Linked DNA regions of Drosophila melanogaster. The protein of the gene in region 1 purifies or fractionates together with the protein of each later gene. This does not show direct contact. Each region holds a gene or a part of one and is shown on either strand. Other genes may lie near its edges.

The links.
Region 2: the proteins of Echs1 (region 1) and CG12768 purify together in Drosophila melanogaster (affinity purification with mass spectrometry, with the first as the bait; one large-scale study listed by BioGRID). This does not show direct contact.
Region 3: the proteins of Echs1 (region 1) and CG8195 purify together in Drosophila melanogaster (affinity purification with mass spectrometry, with the first as the bait; one large-scale study listed by BioGRID). This does not show direct contact.
Region 4: the proteins of Echs1 (region 1) and Arglu1 purify together in Drosophila melanogaster (affinity purification with mass spectrometry, with the first as the bait; one large-scale study listed by BioGRID). This does not show direct contact.

What each region holds. Positions count from the first base shown.
Region 1 is NT_033778.4:13,852,411-13,856,156, forward strand, and holds Echs1 (Enoyl-CoA hydratase, short chain 1), read right to left. Parts: upstream 1,922-3,746; 5' UTR 1,789-1,921; coding exon 1,692-1,788; intron 1,496-1,691; coding exon 771-1,495; intron 706-770; coding exon 640-705; 3' UTR 537-639; downstream 1-536. Other genes in the region: CG30485 (uncharacterized protein), read left to right, coding at 1-408; CG6553 (uncharacterized protein), read right to left, coding at 2,327-2,508, 2,565-3,342.
Region 2 is NT_037436.4:22,908,906-22,913,531, forward strand, and holds the start of CG12768 (uncharacterized protein), read left to right. Parts: upstream 1-1,585; 5' UTR 1,586-1,667; intron 1,668-1,927; exon of another isoform or gene 1,928-2,246; intron 2,247-2,684; exon of another isoform or gene 2,685-2,850; intron 2,851-2,928; 5' UTR 2,929-3,020; coding exon 3,021-3,328; intron 3,329-4,358; coding exon 4,359-4,626.
Region 3 is NT_033778.4:15,562,178-15,567,585, forward strand, and holds CG8195 (uncharacterized protein), read right to left. Parts: upstream 3,625-5,408; 5' UTR 3,397-3,624; intron 2,870-3,396; 5' UTR 2,635-2,869; coding exon 2,545-2,634; intron 2,485-2,544; coding exon 2,344-2,484; intron 2,288-2,343; coding exon 2,234-2,287; intron 2,170-2,233; coding exon 1,566-2,169; intron 1,506-1,565; coding exon 1,094-1,505; intron 1,036-1,093; coding exon 987-1,035; 3' UTR 520-986; downstream 1-519. Other genes in the region: CG12963 (uncharacterized protein), read left to right, coding at 1-47; Flo1 (flotillin 1), read right to left, coding at 4,397-4,414, 4,626-4,790, 4,852-4,995, 5,066-5,408.
Region 4 is NT_033779.5:9,934,256-9,940,075, reverse strand, and holds Arglu1 (arginine and glutamate rich 1), read left to right. Parts: upstream 1-1,941; 5' UTR 1,942-2,070; coding exon 2,071-2,418; exon of another isoform or gene 2,419-2,565; coding exon 2,566-2,838; coding exon of another isoform or gene 2,839-3,072; exon of another isoform or gene 3,073-4,506; coding exon 4,507-4,590; intron 4,591-4,652; coding exon 4,653-4,820; 3' UTR 4,821-5,309; downstream 5,310-5,820. Other genes in the region: CG4619 (uncharacterized protein), read right to left, coding at 1-1,112. UniProt on the Drosophila melanogaster protein: Post-transcriptional regulator of gene expression; modulates splicing and premature cleavage at cryptic polyadenylation sites of its own pre-mRNA through binding and regulation of the U1-snRNP complex.

The DNA.
Region 1 (3,746 bases):
ACCTCACGGCCAACTGAGTCACAAAATCCGGGCATACGTCGAGGATTGGTTACATATCGAAACTACGAGTTTACCACCGAACTAAGTGATCCCTGTGTGATTGAACCAAAGGGGAATCGTTTCCGATTTACAGAACATTGTCCCATGCACAGGGATAAGAACTACTCACGGTCACGAAATTATCGACATTTAGCTCGTTGTTGCGATGACTCCGATGCCTCCAGGCACTATAAAAATCCACATGGCTCGAGAAGGATACGGGGAGGTATAGATTTCCATGAGATTGAATATTCTTCACGAAGGCAACGCTACACAGCGCACAATTTTCCAAAAAACATGCCTTCCAAACTCGAAAGCAACAAGACACAACCATGGAAGTCACCTAAGCACTTATTTTGTTTCGATTAGAAATAGGAGGATAATCGGGCTAGCAAGCCGACTGTCAAGTGGCCATACCATGTTTATACTAATGGATTACCACCTGACATGCGGACTAGCATACCTCATATACTAATGACAAATTATGGTAAATTGTTCATTTTCAAATTATCACGATTAAAGTTTTAATTGCGTAGAAACAACAGTTTTTCTTTTAGATAATATAAATGCAAAGCTGGCTGGGATTGATTAGGGTAGTATTTACTCGTTGGTAAACTTGGCAGGGCGCTTCTCGGCGAAAGCGGTCATGCCCTCCTTGCGATCGGCCTATTGGATGAAAGAAAATACAAGAGATTAAATAGTGTTAAGCAGATATTTAAACTTGAACTAACCGTGGAGAACGTGGCATGGAAGGTGCGACGCTCGAACTTCAGGCCCTCTTGGAGAGTGGTCTCGTAAGCCGTGTTAACCGCCTCCTTGCACAGCTGCACGATCAGATTGGAGTGGGTGCCGATCTTCTCGCCCAGCTTGACGGCCTCGCCCAATAACTGGTCGGCGGGCACCACCTTGCTGGCCAGACCCAGCTTCTCAGCCTCCTGGGCGCCGATCATATTGCCGGTGAGGCACATTTCCATGGCCTTGGACTTGCCAACGACGCGGGTCAGACGCTGGGTGCCACCGGCACCGGGAATGGTGCCCAGGGCAATTTCAGGCTGACCAAACTTGGCCTTGTCACCGGCATATATGATGTCGCACATCATGGCCAGCTCACAGCCACCGCCCAAGGCGTAACCATTCACGGCAGCAATGATGGGCTTCTGGGTGCGGGCCACCTCTGTCCAGTCGTTCAAGAAGTTGCCCTGGATGCACTGCGAGTAGGTGTTGCCCACCATCTCCTTAATATCAGCGCCAGCGGCGAAGGCCTTCTCGCTGCCCGTCAAAACGATGGCGGAGATGGTCTTATCCTTGCTGAATTGCTGCAATGCGGTGGACAGCTCCTTCATCAGGCCATTGCAGAGGGCATTCAGGGCCTTGGGGCGGTTCAGGGTGATCACGCCTACGTTCTTGCCCTCGCCGGCCACTTCGGTCTTGATGTACTCCCAGTTGTTGTTGGTGGCTGAAAAGAGATGGCATCATAAATGAGGTGATCGTATGTGCGCGAATGTTACGCAATCAATGTTTATTTGCCTGGAAAAGTACAAAAGATGTCGCCAAGAAACCGGCGGCACTTGATATCTTGATATTCCGGCTTAGGTTGGAGCTGGGCATCAATCGCGTGGACTTTGATCCCTCGCAATCAACCATCTACTTACAGGAGCTGCTGAAACGGGTGGCCACCTGTGGCTGACGGGCGGCTGCCTGCAGGACGCACTGGGCGCGGCTAGCGAAGATCTTAGCAATGTTGGCCATTTTCAATTGAAGGAACTCTGAGCCGGCTGCAAGTGCAATTCGTTATCTAATCTGTGGCGGTATCTGGCATGGAGCCACTCTAGAACTTGGGATACTTACGCTGCGAAGCACTGGAGCAATATTGGCGCACTAGTGGGGCAGGTGTGACCGCGTTCGCTCCCACCAGAAATGCCACTATTTCCAGTCACTGTTTCAGTCACAGTTTGGGTCGCAGCAACAAGTGGTTCTAGCATTACAGCTGTTAACGCAAAAGTATTGTTAACAGCCGAAATTAAAATGTGCAACCTAATAACACAATTATTATGTTCTTAAATCTGTTTTAATATATTTACAATATAATACTACTTCTCACGTTTTACTCTAAAAATAAATATACATTCGTATTTAAGCTTTTAATTTTTATGGAGAACTTGAAATAACATTATTTACATAAGATAAGCCTAGATAGTTTGAAATTAACAGTACTTTTTATCAACAACTTGGCTGGTAAATAAGTAAGTATGCGTGATCACATGTTTAGCTTTGTAAAAATTAATTCCTAGACCTTTGGTATTGAAGATGTCTGGGGAAGATTACTGCTGGTCTCCACCAGCCAAATGTGCTCCTCTCGTTGCCTTCTTGAGCCATTTTCTCGACGCACCCGCCAAATTAGAAACACCAATACCACGATTAGGAAGCAGAATATTACTATAACCAAGCTGAAAACATACGCTTGGGGTGCTAAAAGTAAATAAATTAGTATTAATGAAGAAACTTTTGATAAATACACAACTTACTTTCACAGTAAGGAAACTTCCTAGCCCACAATGCGTCCTGGCAAATGTTCTGGTTCTCGCCTTTCAGTCTGTGCTCCGCCGGGCAGTCGTAGTAGATACGGGTGCCATTGGCTACCCTTGATCCTACAGTGAGGATTGCATCTGTGAAGTGCTTAACCATAACGTTTGGCAGTTGGGGAACCACGCACTCCCCGTTCTCCTGAAGAGGATTTGGTCGTGACGCCTTCCTTGTTACAGGAACAGTGGGAGTTATCCTATGGATACTACTTTCCGTAGTTGTACTTGTCGTTGAACTGACTGTAGTCGTTGGTATGGTAACGCCCTCGCAAAGGGACTCCAGCTCATCGTCTCCATCTCGGCAGTCACGGATGCCATCACACAATTTGGAATAGGTCATGCATTGGCCAGAGGAGCAGTACATTTCCCAGTTGTCGCAGTTAGCCTGCTGCATCTGCGCCCGGCACAGCCAACCCTGCTCATCCGAACCATCCACGCAGTCCTGGACGCCATCGCAAACCGCTGTGCTGGCTATGCACGCACCGTAGCTGCAGCGAAATGCATAACCCGGACACCAGACCTTCTCACACATGGCGACCGTCTCATCGGAACCATCCAAGCAGTTGGCGCTCCCATCGCACAGCTGGTCCAGTTGGATACAGTCGCCTCCTCCACAGCGATGCCCGCAGCTTGTGGCATTTTGGGATCCCAAGCAAATGGTGACGGCTAAGGAGAGAAAAATCACCAGCTGAATTGAGAGATTCTGATGCGCTCCGAACATTCTAAATGGGTTCCAATCGACAGACTGACGGTTCCATGGCGCAGTTAAGGGTATTATTACGAGAGTTGTCCAAACCAGTTTGATGATGATACGGCTCTAGCTGTGCACAATTATCAGTCATGGGGTTTTCTGAGCGGCAGTCAGTATTTTCAATGACCGAGCTTATCACGTTTTTAGATAATCCTATCAAAGGGATATTCCAAAGTTGTATCGAGTTTGCCATTAGTTGTGATGCACGTTTTGTGGCGAAACATTCCCGTTTCCAAATCCAAATCCGGAAATGTTTAATATACTTTTGGTTACTAACATGCCTCCAATAATTTGCCATCAAGAATATAAAAAAGTAAGTTCACTAAACAGATTCAAAAATATTTGAACTTGAATAAAAACTTGTTATATTCTTT
Region 2 (4,626 bases), on another chromosome or scaffold:
TAAAATAATAGGCAATTTTCCCTGGCCCCTAACGGAACCGAAGTCGCCCTACTCAGCTGATTTTATCCCAATCTGACACGCCCGTGACATGCTGTTGCCTATCCGAAAATATTTGTGTACCACGGATTACATTGCAGTAATGGATTTAATTTAAGCTGTGGACCGCGTTCGACTCAACTGCAGATTCATCAGCGCCGAGAACGCATACTGATAAGTCGAATCAGAATCAGACAAAGCGGTATGCTGCGTTCTGCTGAAAAAGGAAAGGGAGAGCGAAAACACGGATGGCTGTGTTGGTGCGATTGATAAATACGAGTTCATTCTTAAAGCTTATTTTTTAGATGACCAAGCGGGAGACAACAACGAGTAAACAAGAGCAACAGCAACAGCGGGCAATAAAGTTGATTGCAGCAGTGGCAAATTGAATATTTGCCAGCGCGCGTGTGTGTGTGCGCAGCCTTTTTGTTTGTGCTTGTTCGCATTGTTAAATATCCGCACCAGCAGTGCAGCCAAATGGGATGATAGATGCCGAATGCCGAATGGCGCGCGAGCAGAGCGAGTGGCTACCATTGTTAATCCGCAGTTCGTCCTCTGTGCCCCTTGCCTCCTCCCTCGCTCATTCCTGTGCCACAGCTCAGCTTGCTACCAAAACTCGACCTCGACTTCATCCCTTGCTCTCTCGGAACTCTCATGCTCAAGCTGTTGCTTCAGCTACAGCTCAGCGTACAATTGTTGCTTTGCGGAGACTGCGCTCATTGCCGGGTGCTGCCAATCCTGGGTGCAATCCGTTCATTATTTATCCGGCTGGTGGTAAGCAAATAGCGCTCACAAGCCACTTAGTGCTATCACTCTTGGATTAATCACTGGGCACGGCTCGGCGATAACGTGTCACTGCCACAAACGGAACCGCAACGGCGATAAATATTTTTCACAGCGAAAATAACACTGCCTAACAAAGTTTGAAACACTGTGACTAGAACATTTCCAAACTTCAGCTATTTCTTCAGCTATCAGTTATATATTTTAGAATAGATAAACAGAATATATATAATGCCATTTATGTAATGATTTCGATGAATAGATAGATGGCTAATATTTTACCGGTACTCCACCAAGGTGTTTTAAAGAAGACGGCTTTAAAGGTTTCCTATAATATACATTTTTTTATTAAATTTCATTTTATTTATTTTAAAATGCGTCCCGTTTGAGTGGAGGATATGTCTAATATAGTCCTAAATAGATACCAAGTAAATATCTTTTCGTATCACTCCACACACACACAAAAAGTTGAGTTTATAATTACATTATTCACGCAGCCCTCTAGGCTCCCTCACTATGCCAATTTCTTTTGTTGTGTAGTGTAATAGCATAGGATTGGCAGCCTCCGATTGTTTACACCAGCGTAGGCGGCACTGCAACAACAACAATAGCATCCTCTGCTCTCATTCTCTCTCCCGTGCTTTGCGCTCTGGAGCGGAGCAGAAAAGAAAAGCGCCATTCGCTCACTTTCTCTCCGGCTCTCTTTGTGCTGCTGCGCCAATTTGCAAGAAAACTAAGTTGGTTTGCTGTGCAGTTGTGACAATCGTCGAGGAGAGCAGCGGCGCACTCTCTAAAAGGAAGCTGCCAAGCCAACGAACGGCCAAGCGAGAGGTGACAAGTGAAAAGTGGCAAGTGGATGTACCAAATAGTGACAGGTTCACTAGTAGTAATCGCAAGTTAGCTGCCCGTTTGGCTGCAGATTTTCGTCAAAGTTCGCTATTCGTGTTGTTTTTTGATGTTTTCGTCTCTCTCGGCTGTCCGCATAGGCAATGTGTGTATACATATACGCGATTTCACACTGACAACAGGGCCGGGCGCGTGTATGAGTGTGGTTATTTTGCCGTGTTGCCGAACATCTGTATCTGTATCTGAATCTGTGGCAGCCAATAGTTGTGGCAAGGCCCTCGAGCAACTCGCAACACAACACATAACAACAGCATCCCCAATAAGTGGCAGCAACTACGCCGCATGGCAAAGCACCAACGGCCGCATTTGTTGTTAATTGAAATAAATTGAAATAAATTCCCCGACTTTGCTGCTCATATTGTTAATAAAGAGAAGCCGGAGCGACGCAACAGCGAATCAGCAGCAGTAAACAAAACTGTGAGCAAAAGGTTTTAGTTCCATTCCAGGCGTCAGACGACTTTGAGTACAAGCGACAAACAACCAGAACATCTAAGGAATTCCGAGCGAACAATGTGAATAATGTTGGTATCACAAGCAATTGGTGGCAATAACCAAAAAGAGCACATGCGTTTATTTATAGACCCCAGTGTGTTCCCATTAGTGAGTGTGTGGCGTGCTGTGCACTGCAAATGAGTTCAAGCTGCAGCCAAAGAGAAGGAGGCGTCCTACCAATACCAATCCTTGTGTAGTCTTGTTCCCTCCACAATCAGATCGGTCGCAGACCAACAGTAGCAGCTGAAATTCCTCGATCGGCACACGAAATCGTATGTAAATACTTTCCTGCCGAGTCAGCCTCTCAGAATGCCAATGTTTACAGTATTCGATTATTGTTTAACTAACAGCCTCTTATGGGAAAGTGGAATACATACATTAATTGATGGGGGAGGTGGGGGTTGGGGTTTGTAGGGTCTGCTATAAGCAGATTTCCCGTATTTGATTTGTCCCCTCTGTTGTCTCAGTTTCAGTGGGACCCATACTCCCGAAAATCAATTGTATTTAACTGTGCGTATGCGATTTCGAAAACAAAAACACCCCTCCTGCTGGGGTCATTGCACCCAAGGTGCGTGGGTGCGTGTGTCAACACTTTTGAACCCCTAAGCACCCACCCGAGAAATACGCCGAAAAGTATGCAACGAACATGGCGACCATCAGCACAAGCAACTTTAACGATTTTCTCACCTCATTTCTATACTTACTTTGCAGCGCAGCATCCGGCGACACAGGACATGCGCAGTGGCCTTTTTGGTAGTTGCATTTCGGCCAACAGCGACTGAAAGAGCAGAGAGCGGAGGAGCATGGCCTTTTCCCGCCACAACATCGAGAAGCGCCGACTCATCGAGCTCGTGCGACTCAACCCAATCCTCTGGGACTGCCGCCTGCCACACTACAAGCGTTCGGACAAGCGAAAAGCCATCAAATGGAACGAGTTGGGGCGGCTCTTCAACGTTAATGGCGAGCGGGTGCAGCGCACGTTTACTTCGCTCCGCGAGATCTTCCGCCGCGAGCTGAACCACGAAAAGATGCTGGGCACCACGCGCTTCAAGTCCAAGTGGGAATACTACGATGCCATGGCCTTCCTCAAGGAGGTCATTCGGGAACGCAAGTAAGACGACGTTTGACCTGCCCTAAAATACTACCTTATGATATATGTAGATCCCGTTTAAGGGATTTTGGACATTCCAGTTATTTGTTCTAGTGTCTTTGGAAAAAGGGTTTACTAAATTCGTTGAAAAGTGTGTAACAGGTAAAAGGAAGCGTTTTCGACCATATAAGGTACATATATATATTTCTGAACAGGATCAATAGCCAAGCCTCGAGCTCAGGAACTATAAAATACCACACTTTTGAAAAATGTTTTCATTTTTCTTGGTTTCATTTTTTTTATCTTACCGATATACCAAAAACACTTTGGCTACGCCTCTTCTGAAAAATTCAAACCGCTCACAACAATTTTAATTCCCCAATATCTATCGACAAGCAAGGAAAATTATAGAATTTCGCGTTCGCACTAGCTGAGTAACGGGTATGTGATAGTCGGGTTTTCGACTACAGCAATTGTGTTCCGATTATAATCACTGAAAAAGTTGTTTGAGCAAATTCGGAGAGAGGTGACCGCGAAATAATCACCGTCACTTAAAAGCCTAAACATATTTACATATTCAACATTTAGATTTTGATTTTACGCGATTTTTAAGTTTTTATTGTTATAAGAAGAATGATTAGTGTAAGGGATTGGGAATATAAATGTCGAGATAGTTCTCAAAATAATACGCAAGTCACCTTCCTCGGTTACAATAAATTTACATTGATTTTACTGAAATCAAATCAAATAAAAACTAGTTAAAGAAAATAACTGTTGTCTACCGAATAAGAACAATGACGCAGATAAGAATATAAATGTCTAGATAATTCACAAGGATTGTGTGCAAGTCAAATCTAAATTTAAGCATTTAGGAAGGGTATACATAGAAATTCTATTAAAACTTTGAATTTGTTTCATGTGGTCGGTCCAGAACTGACCAACAGGCAAGAATGAAATGCATGCCTGCGGATCTGCATCATAGCACCTATCTGCTAACCTTGAGGCAAGCACCCGCTTTCCAAAAAAGCTAATTACAACTTTTGCTTTTTAGATCTCGCGAGCGCATCAAGCACGGCTCTTTGGATTCAGCACCAGTAGCCACAGGCAGCAGCAACAATAACAACAACTGCGTAAGCCGCAATAGCAGCAACAACAACAGCAGCAGTGCGGCCCTAGACGAATATCAGTACTTTGCTCCTAGCGACCCCAACAACCCGAACAATCAGCCCCAGCTGCAGCCCGAACCAAAGAGTAGTCTGCCAGTGACTATTCCCAGTCTAAGTCTCACCCTCAGCCAGTTGCCGGTGGCTCTGCAGCAG
Region 3 (5,408 bases), 1.7 Mb from region 1:
GCTCCGGATCTGGTCCTCCTGCTCCATTGCCAACGACAGCGGTGTGATCCGTCGGAGGCATGGATAAATTGGAACTGAAGCATTCGCCGTGCCACTCTGGGCCACACAGATGCCACTTTGTGTGCGCTTTCAGTACAGAAATGAACTTGTGTGATCTTATTGAGTACATACCTATTTAAGTTCTAGACATTAGGAGTCGCATATTGTAAATATATATTTTTAGGACATAGGATGAAAATTAAAGTGAATTATTTAATTGAAAATAATGACTTTTAACTTTGGGAAAGTTCATGATTAAGTACAATATAAAAATCGGTTCTTAATGGTAAAATACAAAATAAATTAGTTCTATGAATCATGAAAAATCAGTTCTTATCAAAAATAAATAAGTTCCATAAAGCATAAACTCAGAAATCGTGTAATCGACATTATTTAAAAATGAAAAAGTAATGGTTTCTAATTTACATACGATTAACCGCTGCCACCGTATGGCTATTAACCTTAGATTCAGCAGATTTTAAAGCTTACGGTAGACAAGTTTTATTTATTGTAATTAGTTATCAATATGTGTATATGTTTTTTCATCTTGTATTGAGAAGTCAACAATTATACAGCTAAGCGCAGTGTGAATACCGAGGAAATAAATTATAGGTGGAGTTCAGCAAAACGTTGTAGACTATCACATAGATAAACGGTATTCGTGGGATCTAAAGCTATTTACAGAGAATAAATACACTTGTAAGATTATAATAAATAGTTGTACGTAAGTTCGCAACACAATAATATCCAACGAAAAATGCACAAATGAGAAACACAAATCAGGGCCGAAGGGAAATTGTGCAGGACTTGTCCCAATATGATTTAAGAACGATTCGAAACGAACTCGTAAACAGCCAAGTTTTAGATTGCATTGCAATGAGCAACATTCAAAGTTTGTAGAAGCCCGACTTTTACAAAAAGCCTCCATTCGTGATTATTGCTATTGTTTAATCGCTGTTGCTTATCAGCGACTCCTGTTGTTCGTCATCGTTGACCCTAGGCAAGAAATTATGCTGTTAAAAGACAGTTCATATTGCCAGAACACCAGACTCACCTAACAATGCTTGGCTTATGGCACCGGCAGACTTTTCTATACACAATCCTAAAGAGCTTCATCAGTGGGTCGGAATCGTCGTTACGCATCAATAGCGAAACGAACACCAGGGCCACAAAGATGGGTATCGAGCCCATGTAGAACATCGGCGAATACGGTTTGTTCTTCAGCAGGACATCGAACAGGATGGCTAGCGGAATCTGTAGCGACATTGCCAGCGTGCCAATCAGTGAGGATGTCAAAAAGCAGCCCCACAGCCAAAGAGCCTCCGACAGCACAGTGCCAACTAAGCCGTTCAAAAATAGAAGGGCAAACTGCCCTTGACTGGGCAGCTCAAAGGTTTCTATTTTGGTGAAGTGGAGGATAAAGAATATTGGCCATAAAAGCAACATATTCCATAGGCCAACAAAACCTAAAAAGGGAGTCAGAAGATAAGCAGCGATCAAACTCAAAATTTAGCAATTTTACTCACCGAAAAACAATGGTATATCGACCTTCTCCTCCGTATCGCTTTTTCGCTTCACGAAAACCAAATAGGCGGCATAGAAGAAAGCGCTGAAAAGGGCTAAAAGGACGCCTCTGGTCATCTTGGTATCGTGTAGGTCGTTCATGGTGATGGCCACCACTCCGCCAATGTTCATGGCCACCGCAATCACCTTGGTGATAGTCAGCTTGTCACCTGTTGCCGAGGGAAATACGGCTGCCAGGCAGATAATGAAGAATGACGATGTTGAGCTAACCAGTGTTATCATGGCCGCCTCGTCCATTTCCAGGGCCAGCTGAAAGAAGTAATTGGCCGCAAACCAGAGCAGACAAAAGAGTAGCGCAGTCTTTGCCGTTTTGTGGTGTGTCTTTTGGCGCCTAATTCTCAAGCTGGCGGCATACGAAAGCCTGGCCATTAAGGCATCGGTGGCTTCGTGGGCAGACATCTCTCTGACTTCGGCCATCTTGCTGAAGCGCACACTTCTTACACTTGAATCATCGCTTTCGGTGCCCGATATGGAGTTTGAGGTGCCATTGGATTGTCCTCCGGCTCCTAAGTGAGGCGATCTGATGGGCACATAGGTTGGGTCTCCCTAGTAGGTATAGACAAAGGTTACATCTTTTTGTACATAATATATGATTGTATGATTTGCCTACCAAAACAGCCTGATTGGAGTAATAATTCTCGTCATCTGCATTCTGCTCCATCATCTAAGGGAAGAAGAATCACTTAGTAGGGTTTATAATTAGGATATCTAATTACTTACAGCATAGTTTCCATTCTGTCGCTCGCATGACTCTTTCCAGGGAGCCAGGATACCGATGACTAGCAGGTAAATGCTGAACATGGAGGTTTTGAAGTATGTGCAGAAGAAGGGCTTGTCAAAATTGGCCTCATTGTACAGGAACTAGTAAAGTATATCAAAATTCAAACCGATTTCCAAATGTTTTCAAAACAAAATTATCACCTTTGTCAGCTCACTGGATGAGACCCAAACCACATCGACTAGTACCAGTATTGATATGCCCAACAGGAGACGTTGTGTGCGACCTAGCATGATTATTCGCCTGTTTTTCGAATGTTTTCCAAACGAACTTAGCTTCTTTTCCCGCCTTTTGGGGGATGTCTTGCTCCTTCGGTTATCCGTTGACAAATAACTATTTACGCTTGTGCCGCCAGCGTTTTAGTTTCATTGTTGCGGTGTCTTTAGGTTCTGCTTTCAAAAGTGATAAAAGGTCCGTGGTCCGTGAATTTTACACAGATAAACCTTGGGCTTTAGGTAGTCATTTTAGCTAGAATGGAAAAATTGGAGGGAGTGTGTGAGTGCATAAAGTTGGTAGGGATCTGCATTTATTGATTTTTTGTTGACGAGTGGGTGCGGCATTATTCAAGGCGCAAATTACTATTTAACACGTTTGAATCGAATCGCTTTTGTTAGGTAGCAGCAATTCGATTAACAAAGCCATCGGTCAATTAACATCTGCTTGAGCAGATATCTCCATCTAATTTGGGATTATCACCGATCGCGGTGATCAGATAAGTATAAACAAATTAGCAAGATTTCGGGGGGACTGACTGATAAGATATGTGGCTTTGAAAACCAATTGTTTGTTGGGTAAATAAGAATACATTTGTCGAGTGTGGAGAGGGGGAGGGTGGGAGTGGGCGGCAGGTTGTTGATAACAGGCCAAAAACAAAATCAATAAACACAGGCAGCGATATGAAGTCTGAAAAAGTCAACAAGTCTACTGGTCATCACTTAATTGTGATATTATCTACAGTTCTGCGGCTATGCTTGACTTATTTATGCAGTTTTTACCACTTGATTCCTCTTTTGAAGGCGGAACTTTTTTCCTTCCCACTGCCGCAATTGTTTTCTTTGTGTTTGTTTTGTTGAGCGGAAACAATATTTATGGTTTTCTATTTTCTAGGATTTGTCTTAACTCAAGTGGGTTTTCAGATTACACTCTTGGGAGTAATGTGCGTTATAATACTGATATTCTGATTATGATTTTTTATCCGCACAGCTGGACAGAGCTGCTATTAGTGATGGTACAACATCAACCTATCGAAACTATCGATGTATTCAACTTCTTATATCGCATCGATTGTTTTTTGCGTCTTGAATATATAATATATATTTTGTGATAACAATGCTATTATATATAAATGCCTACAAATTCTCTTATTCCATTCCTTTTCATAACTTTCACTAAAGCTGAAGTTATCTGAGAGAAGCCAACTTCAATGCTTCATCAGAAACAATTGGCTGATTAATACATTAATAATAATATATTTAAAATTAATAAAACATTATAAAATAACTGAAGACGTATCGTTTATGGATTAATTAAAAGGCATGGCAACGCTGGTTGCCCAACGTATTTATATCAAAAGGTGGCAGCGCATATGCGAAATTGAAAAGTGTGGCAATGTGGAATAACCGCCAAAACCTTTGGTATTTTAAAATTTCAACTTCCTTTATATTTGCCGACCCATTAAAATAAACTCAATTTGTTGATCCAAGGAAGAATATTTATTCCACGCTTTGTGCAATACACTTATATAAATACATTATACATGTAATACAAAATATTTTTGCTCCTCTCTCTGAGTGTGTGTGTAAAACATGTTGCAAAATTTGTCGGGTTAGCACAAAGATTCAATAATATATTAATTATAAAGAAATTTAAATGCGTTCGATTTCAGTTTTGAAGTATTCGATCGTTCAATATAGCGTAATTTCTTTTTTGTTTTCTTATTTTCGTTTTGAAGAGTACATAATTTTGTGTGTTTTTGGTTTTCTTTTGGGTACTTTTTTAGCCAGCATGCACAGACTGAAATGAAGAGAAAGGAAACGTAAAGTGAATCGAAACCAGGGAATTTATATCGCAAAACAAGGCTCAAATCAAACGAAGGTAGCAAACGAAAGCAGCGTCCTCCTGTCTACAAAGTCTTTTGATTGCCATTTGTTTTGGTTTCGATTGCGTCGTCATTCATTCACCTCGACGAGCTCTGAAGTTAGATAAATTCAGAATTGGAACGTACCCGAGCAATGTCCACGCCGGTTATGTTCTTGACCAGCTCTGGCACTTTGTTGACGATCGACAGAACCTCGCCGGTCAGCTTGGCAGCACCGATATCGCCAGTTCCGCTGGACACCATCGTGATCTTCTTAGCCTGTGACAGTGGAGCAGCCACCTCGGCGGCAACCTGCGAATTAGATTCAACATAGAATAAATTATAGATTCTTTTAATCTAACCATTGACAAACCTTTGGCAGTGTGTCCAGGAGCATCTCCACCATGGCAGCCTCACGGTACTCACGATAGGCCTCTGCCTTCATGGCCATCTGCTCGGCCTCTGCTTTAGCCTTGGCCGCAATGGCAAAGGCCTCAGCCTCACCACGAATCCTGATCTGTTGCAAAGAAGATGGAGATGCTTCAGTTAATCGTAGTCTATAAGCAAATATTTAGATGGTATCTAACCGATTCAGCCTCGGCCTCGGCTTCCATGACCACGCGCTGCTTGTTGGCCTCGGCCAATTTCTCCATGCGGAACTTCTCCGCCTCGGCCGGTCGGCGGATGGTGGCCTCCAGCTCTCGCTCGCGGCGCATGATCTCCTGCTCCTGGACGGCAATCTCCTGCGTGCGCTCGATCACCTTCACCTGCATCTGCTCCTCCTTGATGCGCTGCTTGGTCTTGGCCGCTTGCAGCTCGTAGGCCATCTCGGCCTCGGCCTTTTTGGTCTGCACTTCCACATCGTATGCTGCCTTCTTCAGCTCAAAGTCGCGCTGGGCCTTGGCAATATCGGTATCGTTGAGGAAGCGT
Region 4 (5,820 bases), on another chromosome or scaffold:
AAATATTCGTACTCCCCATGATCCAGCTTGCGCAGGGCGGTCAGTTCCAATTGTCTGATTTCCTCAGGAGTCAATGCACAATTGAGTTGAGCGCTGGCCCACAGGAATGTGGCCAAGTCTTTGGAGCGCAGGTCTCCAGGCTTGAGAAGAGTCATGAGTCGTTTTACGACGACAGTTAGGCATTCATTCTGATCCCAAAGCTGCTCGGCAAAGAATGCAAAGATATGGGCAAGTCCTCGGGGTTCAATATGGGTTATCTTTACAGGATCCAGACAGATATCTTGCAGGTGCTGGCACACTCGTTCATCTTTGACTTGCTGCAGACGCAATGCCTTGACAAAGGAGACCAGCAAGGCATCGCTTCCGGTGTTTATCTCCAGATTTAATATGGCATTAACGAGTCTTGCTTCGTATGCCGTTTTCGCCTCACCGGTTACCAAAGTTGAGGTTTTGTACGCCGCATTGCTGACCACGGCAAGGTCCATTTCATTTAGTTCAGGCAAATGCGTTTGTAGATGCTCTTCCAGGAGTTGCTGGAATTCCTCAGAAGATTTGGCCTGCTTCTTTTGCAATCCCATATAGAAGCACACCTGAACGAATCGCTCCTTGTTGCCGCGAAAATCCTCCCTGACCAGTCGTTGCATGGCTGCTTGGTAAAAATCCAATCGCTTTATCCAACTTGGTATGAGGAATAGAAAGGAGTAGAGCGTCTCGAGCACTGTGGCGGTATCCATCTTGTCCAGCTGTTTAGCCGCATGGTTATCCAACGTGTTAAGCGCAGTCACATACATGGGTACAGCGGCATTGGAGCGATAGCTGGATGCCTGGATGATCAGGGCGGGCAATTGGGCTGCATCCGTTTTCTCTACCGTCCGCTGAAAGTACCGGTCGTCCGTGATGGGAAAGAAGTCAGAGTACCGGACCGTCGTCTTGGGCAACACGTGATCCGAATCCCTGTAGCGCTCCAGTGCAATGTGCTTGGCGAAGCGGGTCAGCAGTGTGCCGGTCTCATCGCTGCTCCGCAATACATCTCTGGGCGTAAGGGAGGCGTAGGTTCTGATGGGACATCCCAAGTTGGTGACGCCGGCAAAGCGGCGAAGCAGGGCGTACATATCGGATGCACTTCTTCTCAATTTATGTAATGAATTTACAAAACAACGTGCAAGTCCGCAAGCATACGTTAAATCTGCATTCGCTTTTCAACACTGACTAATTTCCTCTCACACGAAGTGAACTACTAATAAGCAAAAGAGGGAAACAGCTAGAAAAGCACCACTGTTATTGGAGACTTTCGAGCACTGTTCAAACACCTGTTTCGGTTAATTGATAGCAACAACATGGAAAAGGCAGCTGGTTTTGTTATTTTTCGCCGCCTTTGTGGGGAAATACAATACCTATTGCTGAAGGCTTCCTACGGCTCCTTCCACTGGAGTTCTCCCAAGGGACATGTGGACCCAGGCGAGGATGATTTTACCACTGCCCTGCGAGAAACGAAAGAGGAAGCCGGGAAAGTGCACAACGATATATCTTTTAAAACATGCTTAATTTCAAAAATGCTCTCATAGGTACGACGAGAAGGATCTGATCATATACAAGGACACTCCGCTGACCCTGAATTATCAGGTGCAAGACAAGCCGAAGATTGTTATTTACTGGCTAGCGGAGCTGCGGAATCCCTGCCAGGAGCCCATTCTCTCCGAGGAGCACACCGACCTCAAGTGGCTGCCCAAGGAGGAGGCCAAGCAGTGCGTCGGCTTTAAGGATAACCAAGTCATGATCGACAAGTTCCACCAAATGATTTTAGATCAAAACAAACCAATGTGAACTGAAAACAATTGCCGGTCTAATGTTGGGCAACACAGAAATTAAAATAAAAAAAGCACAGAAAATACCGTATCAAAAAAAATACCAGAATTATGTCAGGCCAGTATGCCAACGTTGTGCACACTGTTTTAAGGCATCTGTGAAAATTGCTCGAGAAATTAAATTCGCTCTCATTGATTTGTTGTGGCAGCCAAGTTAAGCCCTTCGACTAGCTCGAAATCTTATACAATCACACAATCCAGCACCATGGGCTCCCGTTCACGTACACCCAGTCCGTCGGGCAAGCGACGCCACCATAAGAGCAAGCACAAAAAACGCAGTAAGTCCCACCACGACCACGAGCGGCCCAGCACAAGAACGGATAGAGACAAGTCCTCGGAGGTGAACAACCATGGACGACATCGCGAACGGGACAGGGACCGCGAGCGGGATAGACACCGCAGCGACCGACACACTGAGCGCGACTACCGTCACTCCCCCTCGATCCTGAAATCCCGAAAACGCTCCAGCTCGTCGAGCAGCGACAGTCAGTACTCCGAGCAGGAGTCGCAACGTAGCAAACAGAAGCGCAGCCGCTTTAAGAAGCTGGATGAGGTAAGTGGATAGTGTCCATAGTCTGTCATCTTGAGCACTCCATGGGTACGCATTCCATACACGCATTTTTCCGGGATGGACACTCATGCTGCGCTTATGATACAACTGTTTCGATGAAAGCAACTAAACTATGATCTACCATTACAGCAAAACCAGATGCAGGTCGAACGCCTGGCCGAGATGGAGCGGCAGCGTCGGGCGAAGGAGCTCGAGCAAAAGACAATCGAAGAGGAAGCCGCCAAGCGCATAGAGATGCTGGTAAAAAAGCGCGTCGAGGAGGAGCTAGAAAAGCGTCGCGACGAAATCGAACAGGAGGTCAATCGACGCGTTGAGACCGCCAAGGCTGAGATGGAGCGCGAAATGATGCTGGAGCTGGAGCGGCGGCGAGAGCAGATACGCGAAGAAGAACGCCGGCGCGAGGTAGGTGCTCGTATTCAGATTCCGCTGGACGACTGCTGCTATCACTGTCAGAAACACGTACACAATGCCACATTTACCGTACACTTGAATAAATCCAAAACAGCAGTTCAAACAGTCGTCTCCACCACGTCACGCGAAATCGATCCGGCGGCGCTCTCAGTCGCGGCTCACTGGCTGTTCATCCATCAACCCATGTCCCATCAGCAGCCTCCCCGTACTAGATTGCTTGCATAACCCTGGGCCAAGGGCGCCCACTAACCGGGTACATCACTAACCAGTCGCAACTTTTCAGAGCCCTCCCCACATGATGCAGCAAGCTAAATGCTGTGAGCCGAGATGAGAACGCCACGGCTCGTTTTGCCCCTTTTTTTCTTCTTGCCAATAATTTTGTAACTTTTTATTTTTCCTACCAAAAAAGCCAAAATGACGACATTGCCAAGTGTCGCATGTGTCAAAGTTTTGATGCCCATTATTGCAGACTTATTGCATACTCTTAGCTTCATCTTTTGTTCGTTCCTACCCACATACTGTATCATTTTAATTTTTTTGGTATTGGTTCTCGTAACTCGTTGTTGTTGTTATTGCGCGCAAATTCCGCTTCAGTAGGCCCGTGCAACGAACGTGCTGCTCTTGTCCCGTATGCAAGTGGGTGTGTGTGGCTGTTTTGTGATCCTTACCCGCAAAACACTCGCGTGCACTCCACGTTGTGCCGCCATGCCGGAAGTTGAGCAAGCCTGCTGCCGAGCGATTGGTCCACGGACGCATTTCCTCCACACCAAACAATAAATATCAAAAGAATCAAAGAAATACCAAAGCCCAGCGAAGTGGTATGGTGTCCCTAAGTTAGTCCGGGTAGTTAGGCACTCTAGTTGTGGGCGGGCCGACTGAGTTTAGTCCCAACAGTACGCTGCATGCAAATCAAATCACTGCCACTTTTGATAACGGGTGAGTTTCCTACGCCAGCGATGTGTGATGTTGCCCAGCAGCCGTAAGGATAACAGGCGAGAAAGGACGGCGCACAGACCCAAAGACTCAAAGACTCCCCCCAGGGTTTAGCTCTATAGAACTCTGTCTGTAAGAATTTTTGAAACCGGATACGCATTGGATTGCCACTTATTTGTGTTTAAGCTTTTTGTTTTTGCGAGCAAATTACATATGTACGTCTGGAATAGCGAAAAACTCCACAAAAATAATCCCAAATCGAAAATCTGCAAAAAAAAAAAAAAAGAAAACCATAAATTAACACAAATTTAGCCTATTTACTGGAATAATGACCTATTTAAATAGTAAGTAGCAACAATAAAAAAAAAAAAAAACCAAATGAAGACCAACCATTTAGCAAATACTAGTACATTTGTTTATGTTGTGTGCTCCTTTATTGTAATAAACTAAAAGAACAACCTACTTTAAACATTCTTATTAGACACTACTAAATGTTTTACTTTCTACCGAAAATATTCTTTGTAACTTATTGTTAAACATAAAACTAGATTTTAACTGCCTTTGCAGCTCATCAAGCAAAAAACTGCAACCACAAACGTGCGTCGAATTCGTCGCACAGTTTGCATCGCTGATGTCAAGAGACTGTTTATTTCTATAATTAGCATTAAGCTTCTCGCTAAAGGATCGATTTTTGTTATTAATCGTCTTCTTGTTTGGGTTTTATAGGAGGATGAAAAACAAAAACGCGAAGAGCTCGAAGAAATTTTGGCCGAAAACAATCGCAAAATCGAAGAGGCGCAAAGAAAACTGGTAAGAATTCATAGCAAACAAACCATATTATTATGATCATAATTGATTTCTTTTTTCTTTAGGCCGAAGAACGGTTAGCAATAATCGAGGAGCAGCGCCTTATGGACGAGGAGCGGCAACGCATGCGCAAGGAGCAGGAGAAGCGCGTCAAGGAAGAGCAGAAGGTCATATTAGGCAAAAACAATTCCAGGCCCAAGCTATCGTTCTCCCTGAAACCGGGCGCATTATGAGGAGCGTAGGCATCAGTCTGGTGACCGTCGCACCTTTTCTTGTTAACAGCTTTTGCTTTTTTTTTTACCTCAGTGGCTATTTGCCTGCGACACAGACCATGCACTCGTTTTCATTGTTGTAATTGTGTTCTATATTATTTTTATTATTTTAAGGACGAGCTGTGGTGCTGAGAGCAGGCAAAGCACAGCCAATAGATTCAACGTTTTCAAAATTGCCAATTACTGAACACATACGGCTCTATATAGTACAATACGCTAGCGATTTACTTAACCTTTTCTACATAAAGAATTCATATGTGAGACAAATGATTATGTGTAGTGCGTCGTATTGTTGTCACAGCTGAACGATTAACAAAAAAGAAGAAAAAAAAAAAAAGAAAACCAAAAAGATGTCAGTGAAATACATATGTAATCTATTTGCAATTTTTTGATATTTCAAGAAAACATAGAAATCAGCTGAAATCGATAATAAAAAACTTTAGAAATGCCAAAAGTTGAATATTATTATATATAATCTGTATAAGCTTAAGTGTTTCAGATTTGCAATGCAAGAGCTACAAGTGCATTAGCGAGCGAATTAAGCACCATTCGCTTAGTAAATTTGACAGTTTTGCCAAAACATACGTGCGCTTTTCAGCTCCTCCATCCTCCACCGAATCCCCCGATCCCCTTTGGTATCGGACACGATCTAAGCCAGTGTACATGTCGCTAAGTAGACACAACTTATTATTTATAGAGACTACTTCAATTTATATGTCTCTTGTTGCTGATTGGGTTGGGCGACGCTGGACAGCGGGCGACAGCCGGCACGCCCGCGCGTAGCATGGAACTGGAGGCTGCGATCAGGTGGAGAGGCGGCGGTGTCCGATCTGTCCAAGTGCGTGCGTGCGCAGGAGGCGGGGATGCCGAATTGGTAGGCGACTTCACTCAGAGTCGTAATGTGGTTCTAAGCGAATGTGGCGCAAGATATGCCTGTTATGCATACGCACCAAGGTACTCC